Sus scrofa: one gene and its partner. The protein of the gene in region 1 binds, or shares a complex with, the protein of each later gene. Links are inferred from orthologs where the notes say so. Each region holds a gene or a part of one and is shown in the gene's direction. Other genes may lie near its edges. The genes, in order: CCND1 and AMBRA1.

Evidence for each region.
Region 2: the proteins of CCND1 (region 1) and AMBRA1 are in contact, whole or in part, in a cryo-EM structure (PDB 9IVD), measured with the Homo sapiens proteins. The link is inferred for Sus scrofa from reciprocal best matches to the Homo sapiens genes CCND1 and AMBRA1. Residues at the interface, in NP_444284.1 of Homo sapiens: Thr286, Pro287, Thr288, Asp289, Val290, Arg291, Val293, Asp294, Ile295; in NP_001354397.1 of Homo sapiens: Arg54, Ser55, Phe57, Val73, His75, Arg96, Thr97, Trp99, Leu116, Ala139, Arg184, Ile945, Asn1012, Asn1029.

The regions. Positions count from the first base shown.
Region 1 is NC_010444.4:3,623,212-3,627,017, reverse strand, and holds part of CCND1 (G1/S-specific cyclin-D1), read left to right. Parts: intron 1-48; coding exon 49-197; intron 198-2,464; coding exon 2,465-2,629; 3' UTR 2,630-3,806. UniProt on the Homo sapiens protein: Regulatory component of the cyclin D1-CDK4 (DC) complex that phosphorylates and inhibits members of the retinoblastoma (RB) protein family including RB1 and regulates the cell-cycle during G(1)/S transition.
Region 2 is NC_010444.4:16,116,320-16,119,740, forward strand, and holds the end of AMBRA1 (activating molecule in BECN1-regulated autophagy protein 1), read left to right. Parts: intron 1-1,178; coding exon 1,179-1,666; 3' UTR 1,667-2,763; downstream 2,764-3,421. UniProt on the Homo sapiens protein: Substrate-recognition component of a DCX (DDB1-CUL4-X-box) E3 ubiquitin-protein ligase complex involved in cell cycle control and autophagy.

The DNA.
Region 1 (3,806 bases):
TGCAGAGCCCCCCCCCACAGCCCCTTTGCCTCCTCTCCTCCGCCGCAGACGTGAAGTTCATTTCCAACCCGCCCTCCATGGTGGCCGCCGGGAGCGTGGTGGCGGCCGTGCAAGGTCTGCACCTGGGAAGTTCCAACAGCTTCCTGTCCTACCACCGCCTGACGCGGTTCCTCTCCAGGGTGATCAGGTGTGACCCGGTAAGTGACCGCGCTCCTGCGTCTAGATGCTTCTAGAGCCGAGCTGCCATCGGCCGGCGGGAAATGATGGGCTGGGGCCACCTGGGGGACTGTCCGGACCGCCTGCGTTCAGAGGCCCTGGCCCTGGCCGGGGGGGCAGCTCCCCCCTTTACTCTCCCGTTGGAAGGAGAAGCACCTCAGAGCTTGCTGATGGGCTGGAGGGTCCTCCCAGGCCTCTGTGTCCCCCGGACTCCTGGGAACTTCAGCCCCTCCCTGGGGGGCCAGCTGAGAAGAGGGGCCACAGGCAGGCCGAGTCAGTGATCCGTGCCCGAATGGGGGGTGGGGTGGGGCCCGCTGGAGCTTTGTCCCGGCGACAATGTGGACGCCCGATAAATGGCCGCTTTACAAGGGCCCCTGTGAGGTCCAGCGTCCACAGTGGGTCCCGTACAGACCACTCGTTTCTATGGCCCCTCGTTGACAGGCTGCTGCTCCTGAAGCTGGAGTCGATTGTATCTTTCTTCTTACAATTGTCATTGTCTTCTTCTCGACTCTTGCCTGTAAAGAAAGAATTAAAATAACAATTGCAAGGGTTTGTGGCCTTCACCAAATTAGACCGGCGAGGTTGAGGGGTCATCAGCCCCCCTGGTGTGGGAGTGACCGCCTTGACCCCGGCCCGGGTCGGGCTTGGGCCCGCGCTGCTTTTTGGTGGTCTGCCTTCCGGCGGTCGGGAGCCTCAGAAGGAAAGAGAGGGTGGGTGACGGACGCCTGCATGACCCCCCAAAGGGGGAAGGTTCTGGTGCACAGGCACGGGCAGCTCTGGGCTCAGGGAGTGGAGCGTCCCTGCCTGGCTGCTGGGGGTCATCCCCCAACTGGAAAGACCACAGGGGACCGTCAATCTCCACGTGATCCCTTGGGGGTAAAGGTGGGTGTGATGAGATTTGAAATAAAACGCCTCTCAGCTGAGGGATGGGTTTAATCCGTGGAGGTAGAAATCCCATCAGGCTGGTGACCAGGTGACAACCGTAGCTGAGCTCAGATGCAGGAAAGCCTGGGCAGCAGTGGCTCCGGGTCATGGCCGAGCAGCTGCTCCCCCCTCCCGCCCGTGGCTGCTGCCCACTCCTCTCAGGAGGGCCAAGAGGAGGGGGGACGTGCCCGGCCCTGCGGGGAGGGAAGGCCGTCCTGCGCGCCCCCCCCCCCCCCCCCCCCGCTCTCTACTCTGCCATCAGCCCTCCCCGCACTCCGGGGGCCAGTGAGCCAGGGCCCCTGGAGCCACCTGCAGACGCTGGTGCATTTGTTGGGTGGGGGCTCTCAGGTCTCCGGATTGGAACCGAGGCCATGCTGGATGTTTGATCCGAGCCCCAGCGGGGGGAGGACAGCAGGAGTCCTGGGTTCCACTTGGGACCTTCTGGGCCTCAGTTTCCTCCTCTGTGAAATGGGGTCATGTGCACCGTCACTGCCTTCTCATCTGCCACGGTGAATATTGGGAAGGTGGGGAGGAACCCCCCGTAAGGCATGGCGCTCTGCACCCATGGGAGACACCCCGGGATCCACCCAGAAGCCCTGCCGGCTGGGCTTCACTCCTTTGGGGCGGATCCCCCCACCTCCTTGTTCCTGTGGGAGAGGCTGCCCTGGAGACTTTACCTGGCTCTGGACTATTCTAAGCTCCGGTGTGGCTTCCCGGGAGTTGAGGGGGCCTCTCTTCAGACGTGGGAACCTTGGCCGCCCGACAGCAAGGGGCACCTTTGAGCTGCTGGGAGCTTTGGGGACCAGGAGAGGGCCCTAGACTTGGGTTCCTCCTCTCCGTCGAACGCATGGGGCGGGCACTGCGGGAGGACGTCTGCAGCGGTGGCGGGAGAGGAGGGGGATAAAGGGTCCCCGGGGCCACCCAGCACTCATCCTGGGTCACGCGCGCCATTCATCACAGAAGGCTGGGTTCGCCACGAGGGCTGACACGGCAGAGGTGAAGGGTCTCCCCGCCCTGGATCAGATGGTGCTGGACTGGCTGAAGGCAGCAGTGCGGTGGTGGGCCCTGGGGCCAGAGATCAGAGCCCCAGGGAGGGGTTCCAGCCAGGGGTCTGGCCCCGCTGGGGACTCCAGGCGGCAAGGCAGGTGGGCGGGCAGGCTGGGTCCTGAGCAGACTCGCCACCTAACGCCTGGGCTCCTGGGGGCCGATCGGGGGTGCACGCTGTTGATCCTGGGCTCCGGGCAACGGCCCCCCTGGTTGGGGGAGGCCTCATTTTCTGTTAGCATCCGGGGACCCTCTGAGCATCCCACCCCGTCTTGCCCAGGACTGCCTCCGCGCCTGCCAGGAGCAGATCGAAGCCCTTCTGGAATCCAGCCTGCGCCAGGCCCAGCAGCAGACCTTGGACCCCAAGGCCGCGGAGGAGGAGGAGGAAGAGGAGGAGGTGGACCTGGCCTGCACGCCCACCGATGTTCGCGACGTGAACATTTGAGGCGCCGCAGCCAGGGAGGGGCCGGCCCGCGCTCCCCAGACGGAGCCGCTCAGGCCCGGCCACCCCCGGGGGAGAGGCCCGCCCCTCACCACTGGCGTTCCCCTCTGCTCTGTCTCCCTCCCACCTCTGACTTAAGCGAAAGGCAAAAAAAAAAAAAAAAAAAAAAAAGTACCTGAAAACCTGTCTTTAAAAAACAACAACGACAACAGAAAAAGCGAGGAAAAAAATAGTATTTGCATGACCCTGAGCTGGCGGGGGAGGTGGGTCATGCTGCAGAAATAGAGGATTTTATACCCCATAATCAACTAGTTTTTCTATTAATGTGCTTGTGTCTGTTGTAAGAGTAGAATTAAGATGAGCAAGTGTGCGGGGAGGGTTAGATGTGATTTCTTTCCGTGTTGAAAACAAACAAAAAAAGCATAAACATGTTTTTAAAGAATAGAAAAAAAGCCCACCACCCGTTTGTAAAGTAGAAGAGGGTTTTAGCTAGAGAAACATACCTGTGTGCTTTTTTCCCAAGCACGGCTTTAAAGCAGTCCTAGGCATCCTGTGTCTTGCTTATGCATGTAGTCACTTTATAAGTCATTTGTGCGTGTTTATTTTATTTCGTAGGTAGGCGTGTGACCTTCACCTTATCGGTGGCCGATGTCACCTCTGTCTAGAGTAGCGCAGGCTTCGGCATCGTCCGATGCTGAAAGAGGCTCGTCGTCCTCTTTCTGCCTGCGCACCGGCCACCTGAGCGGTTTGTCGGGCGCCAGCCAGCGTAGCAGGGACGGAAAAGCCACCTCCGACTCCGCGCCCACCGCAATAGTGACCTAATATATTCTATTTTTATAATCTTCCTATTTTTGTAGTTACTTGTTCACGAGATGCTGGTTTTTCACCCAACAGACCTGCAGCTCACATCCAGGTGAAACCCACAGCTGGTTGGTTTTTGTGGTTGTTTTTCTGTTTTGTTTTGTTTTGTTTGTTTTTGGTTTTCCTCAATATTCCAGAACCATTCCATTTCAAAGCACTTTTGGTCCCGTAGTTCTAGGGGCTGTCTCTCTGTTTATGTTGTGTGTGGAGGCGGGTGGGGAGCGATTTCCTAGTGGAATGGTTTGGGAATATTGCCGTGCTTGTGTGTGCACAGCGGATTGCAAGGCAGGTGCATGTTCGTGAAGTGGGGGGAAGCGAG
Region 2 (3,421 bases), about 12 Mb from region 1:
AGCCAGTGAGAAGTACCCCCTAAAAAGCAAAAAACTCACCATCAGAACCCACCAAACTGCAGAATCCCGAGTGGCCAACGAGTAGCCACAGGAAACAAACCTGTAGTTTGGTAGAGCAGCCCTGGCAGCCCAGGAGCTGTGACTGTAGCCGCCCACAGGCTTGGACCGCTTCTCTGCCCCATCAGGGCTGAGCGCAGGCTGGAGGAATCTTCCTCAGGGTAGAGCTCCTGCTGAGTCCAGGCCATTCACAGCAGCCACCACCAACTGAATGCCCGCTCTGCACCAGGTCCTGGGTGAGCAGGATCTCATTCCCTCTGCCTGGCACCTTGCAGGCGGGATGTTTTGCAGATCAGGAAACTGAGGGATGTGGATGGCGAGGGACTTGTCCAGGGTCATGCAGCTAGTGAGCGAGAACTGAGATCTGAGCCAGAGCCTCATCTGCTCACATGGAAGGGAGTGCTCAGGCCCCTGGAGAAGGAGCACGACCTTCCCTCTTGCCCCCTAGAGACGTGGGCTGAAGCCTCAGGCTGGTGCAGTTGACTGCCTCTCGAGAAAGATAAGGGTTATCAGACCTCCAGCCCCAGGAGGACAATATGTGGGAAATAACTTGGGGAAGGTGGTGGGTAAAGCAAGATAATCAACGCCTTCCAGAAAACAGTTGCAAATCTTCCTCGTGTGATATAAACAGAACAGCAAAGAGGAGAGACCACAGAGCTTTGAAGTGGAGCAGAGCAGACCTTTGCTTTCAGGCCACACTGCATATGATGCCCTGGCTTTCCAAAGACCAAGCAGCAGGCCCTGTCCTAGGGCCAGATCTATCAGTTTATCCATCCGGGCTGCCTCCTCAGCCACCTCCATGAAATGTGTGACCAGCCTGCCACTGGTGCCCAGAGGGTTAAAGTCGGACTCCTGGCTTCTGGTCCTGCCCCACCTCTTAACTGAGCAGCCTGGGCCAGCAAGGCCTCGGTTTCCCTAGCAGTCAAACAGAAGTATGAATTATGGGCATCTGGGGAGTCTGATCTAGCCTTCAAGCCTCTGATTGACTCTCAGAATGAAGGACTGGCCGGCCTCTTGGTTCTGCTTTTAGCTAGAATCCCCCAGCTCCCACTAGCAGTTGTCTGCCTGACACAGAGGCCTGGGCCAGCAGCTAATTCCCTCTCCTGCTTTGTGCCCTCCAGGGGAGGGCTCAGAGCTCGGTGCCAGTGGGGAAGACGCGCTCAGCAGGATCCAGCGGCTGATGGCGGAGGGGGGCATGACAGCCGTGGTGCAGCGAGAGCAGAGCACCACCATGGCCTCCATGGGCGGCTTCGGCAACAACATCATCGTCAGCCACCGCATCCACCGCAGCTCCCAGACGGGCACCGAGCCCGGGGCCGCGCGTACCTCCTCGCCCCAGCCCTCCACCTCTCGGGGACTGCTTCCGGAAGCTGGGCAGCTGGCTGAGCGAGGCCTGAGCCCCCGGACAGCCTCCTGGGACCAGCCGGGTACCCCTGGGCGGGAGCCACCCCTGCCCCCCTCCTCCCCTGTCCCTCCTCCTGCGCCCCTTCCCAGCACTGAGGGACCAACCCTGCACTGCGACCTGACCAGTAACAGCCACCTTCTTGACAGCGGGGGCAGCAGCAGGGGGGAGGCTGCGGGCCCCAGTGGGGAGCCACGGAACAGGTAGAGACGTGTGCACTGGTGCCTCCCCTCGAACCGCTGAGCAGAAACCGGACCTCACAGCTGACTGGGAACTGGACTCGCGGAGGAGCCGCAGGCTGCGTCAGGAAACAGGAGCAAGAGGGTGGGGGGTCGACAGGGAGTCCAGGTCAGCAGGCATGAGGCAGTCGAATGGGCAAGGCTTGCCTCCAGAGACTAGAACCTTCCAGGATCTGGAGCCCAGGGGAGCCACACACTGCTGTGCTCGGGGTGAGTGCAGGAGAAAGTAGGTATCCCTGCCATGAACCGCCCCCCTCCTTTCTCCTAGAAACATGGCTCAAGGGACCGGGCACTGGGCAGAGAGCCCCCAGAAGGGCAAACAGTCTTCCAGATCTGGGCCAAACCATCCTGACAGTGGCCCCTGGGGCAGCTTCGCCCTGTTCACCTGTCGTGTGGGCAGAGCCACTAGGAGCCCAGGAGCAGGAGGAGCAGCCTAGCCCCCAGAAACCACCTCCATTTCTGAGCCTTCCAGAGCTTCAGCCTCTCTATAATCATCCTACCCCACAGAGACCACAGTCAGGGGTCAGGCCAGGCTCCGGGATTCCTGAGGACAGGGGCTTCCAGCACTTACTGGTGGGGAACAGCCATGCAGTGGAGGGGGCAACCTGCTTGCCTGATACAGGATGGGGTCAAGGGACGGTGGGCAGGTCCTCACTCAGGAGGTGGGGGGTAGGCTGGCCAGCCCCCAGGGCTTGTCTGCCAAGCTCCTCCTTCCCCACCCCACCACCTCCCCAAAGGCTCTCAGAGCAGCAACTGTGGGTGTCAGTATTACCTGAGCCTAGGCCAAAGCCAGCCCAAGGCTGGGGGAGGGGATGAGACTCCAGGTCAGAATGTGAGGTCTTGGTCTGTGATTTAAGGTGTTGCATGTGGAATCTTGAACTGTATGTGTAGTTTCTAGTGGAGAAATCAAGGCTCTGATTATTTTGTTTTTAGTATGAAAACGTGATTTCTTTTCTGTTTGTAACTCATCATAGAAACATTGTGGTGGGAGGAGAGGGGATAGTCTGACTGCAAATGAGGGAAACACCAAAGATCTACATCATTAAAATGATGATATGCCCCTCACCACGCTCCTCTCTCTTTGTTTCCATGGGGGGTGGAGGAGGGGGTGGTGATTGAAGGGGAGACACTGGGATCACTGAACTGAGCCACCCTGGTTCTTCCAGCCCTGTGGTGCCCCAGCAGAAGCCACTCAGGTAAGGGCTGCCACCTGTTTCATGCTCCATCTCTGTGTACCACCACCTCCTGCTTCCCGGGGGCCTGCTACGGATTGGGCAGCCTTCACAGCAGTGAGGGGTGGGTGGGGGGTTAGGTGAGAACGAGATTACTCATCTTGATTGCTTCCTACCCAGGATGATGGGCCTGGGATGAAGATGTAACTGGCCAGAAAGTTGGCTCCCCTCCAGTTCTGGGACAGCACCCATTAATGGGTGTCTGGGTTGGCCGGCAGGGAGCTTGGTCTTACCTGTAGGCATCCCCCTAAGACACCATTTGGTGCTTAGGTTTCCCTTCGTGTCCTCGGTACAGTGAGTACGGGACCTGCCTTGGCCATTTAGTTTAAAGCCAGTTAGAAAGCGGGAGAAAGGGATTTCGCATCGTGGCTCAGCAGTAATGAACCCGACTAGTATCCATGAGGACATGGGTTCAATTCCTGACCTCACCAAGTGGGTTAAGGATCTGGCTGTGAGCTGTGGTGTAGGCTGCAGACAGCATTGCTGTGGTT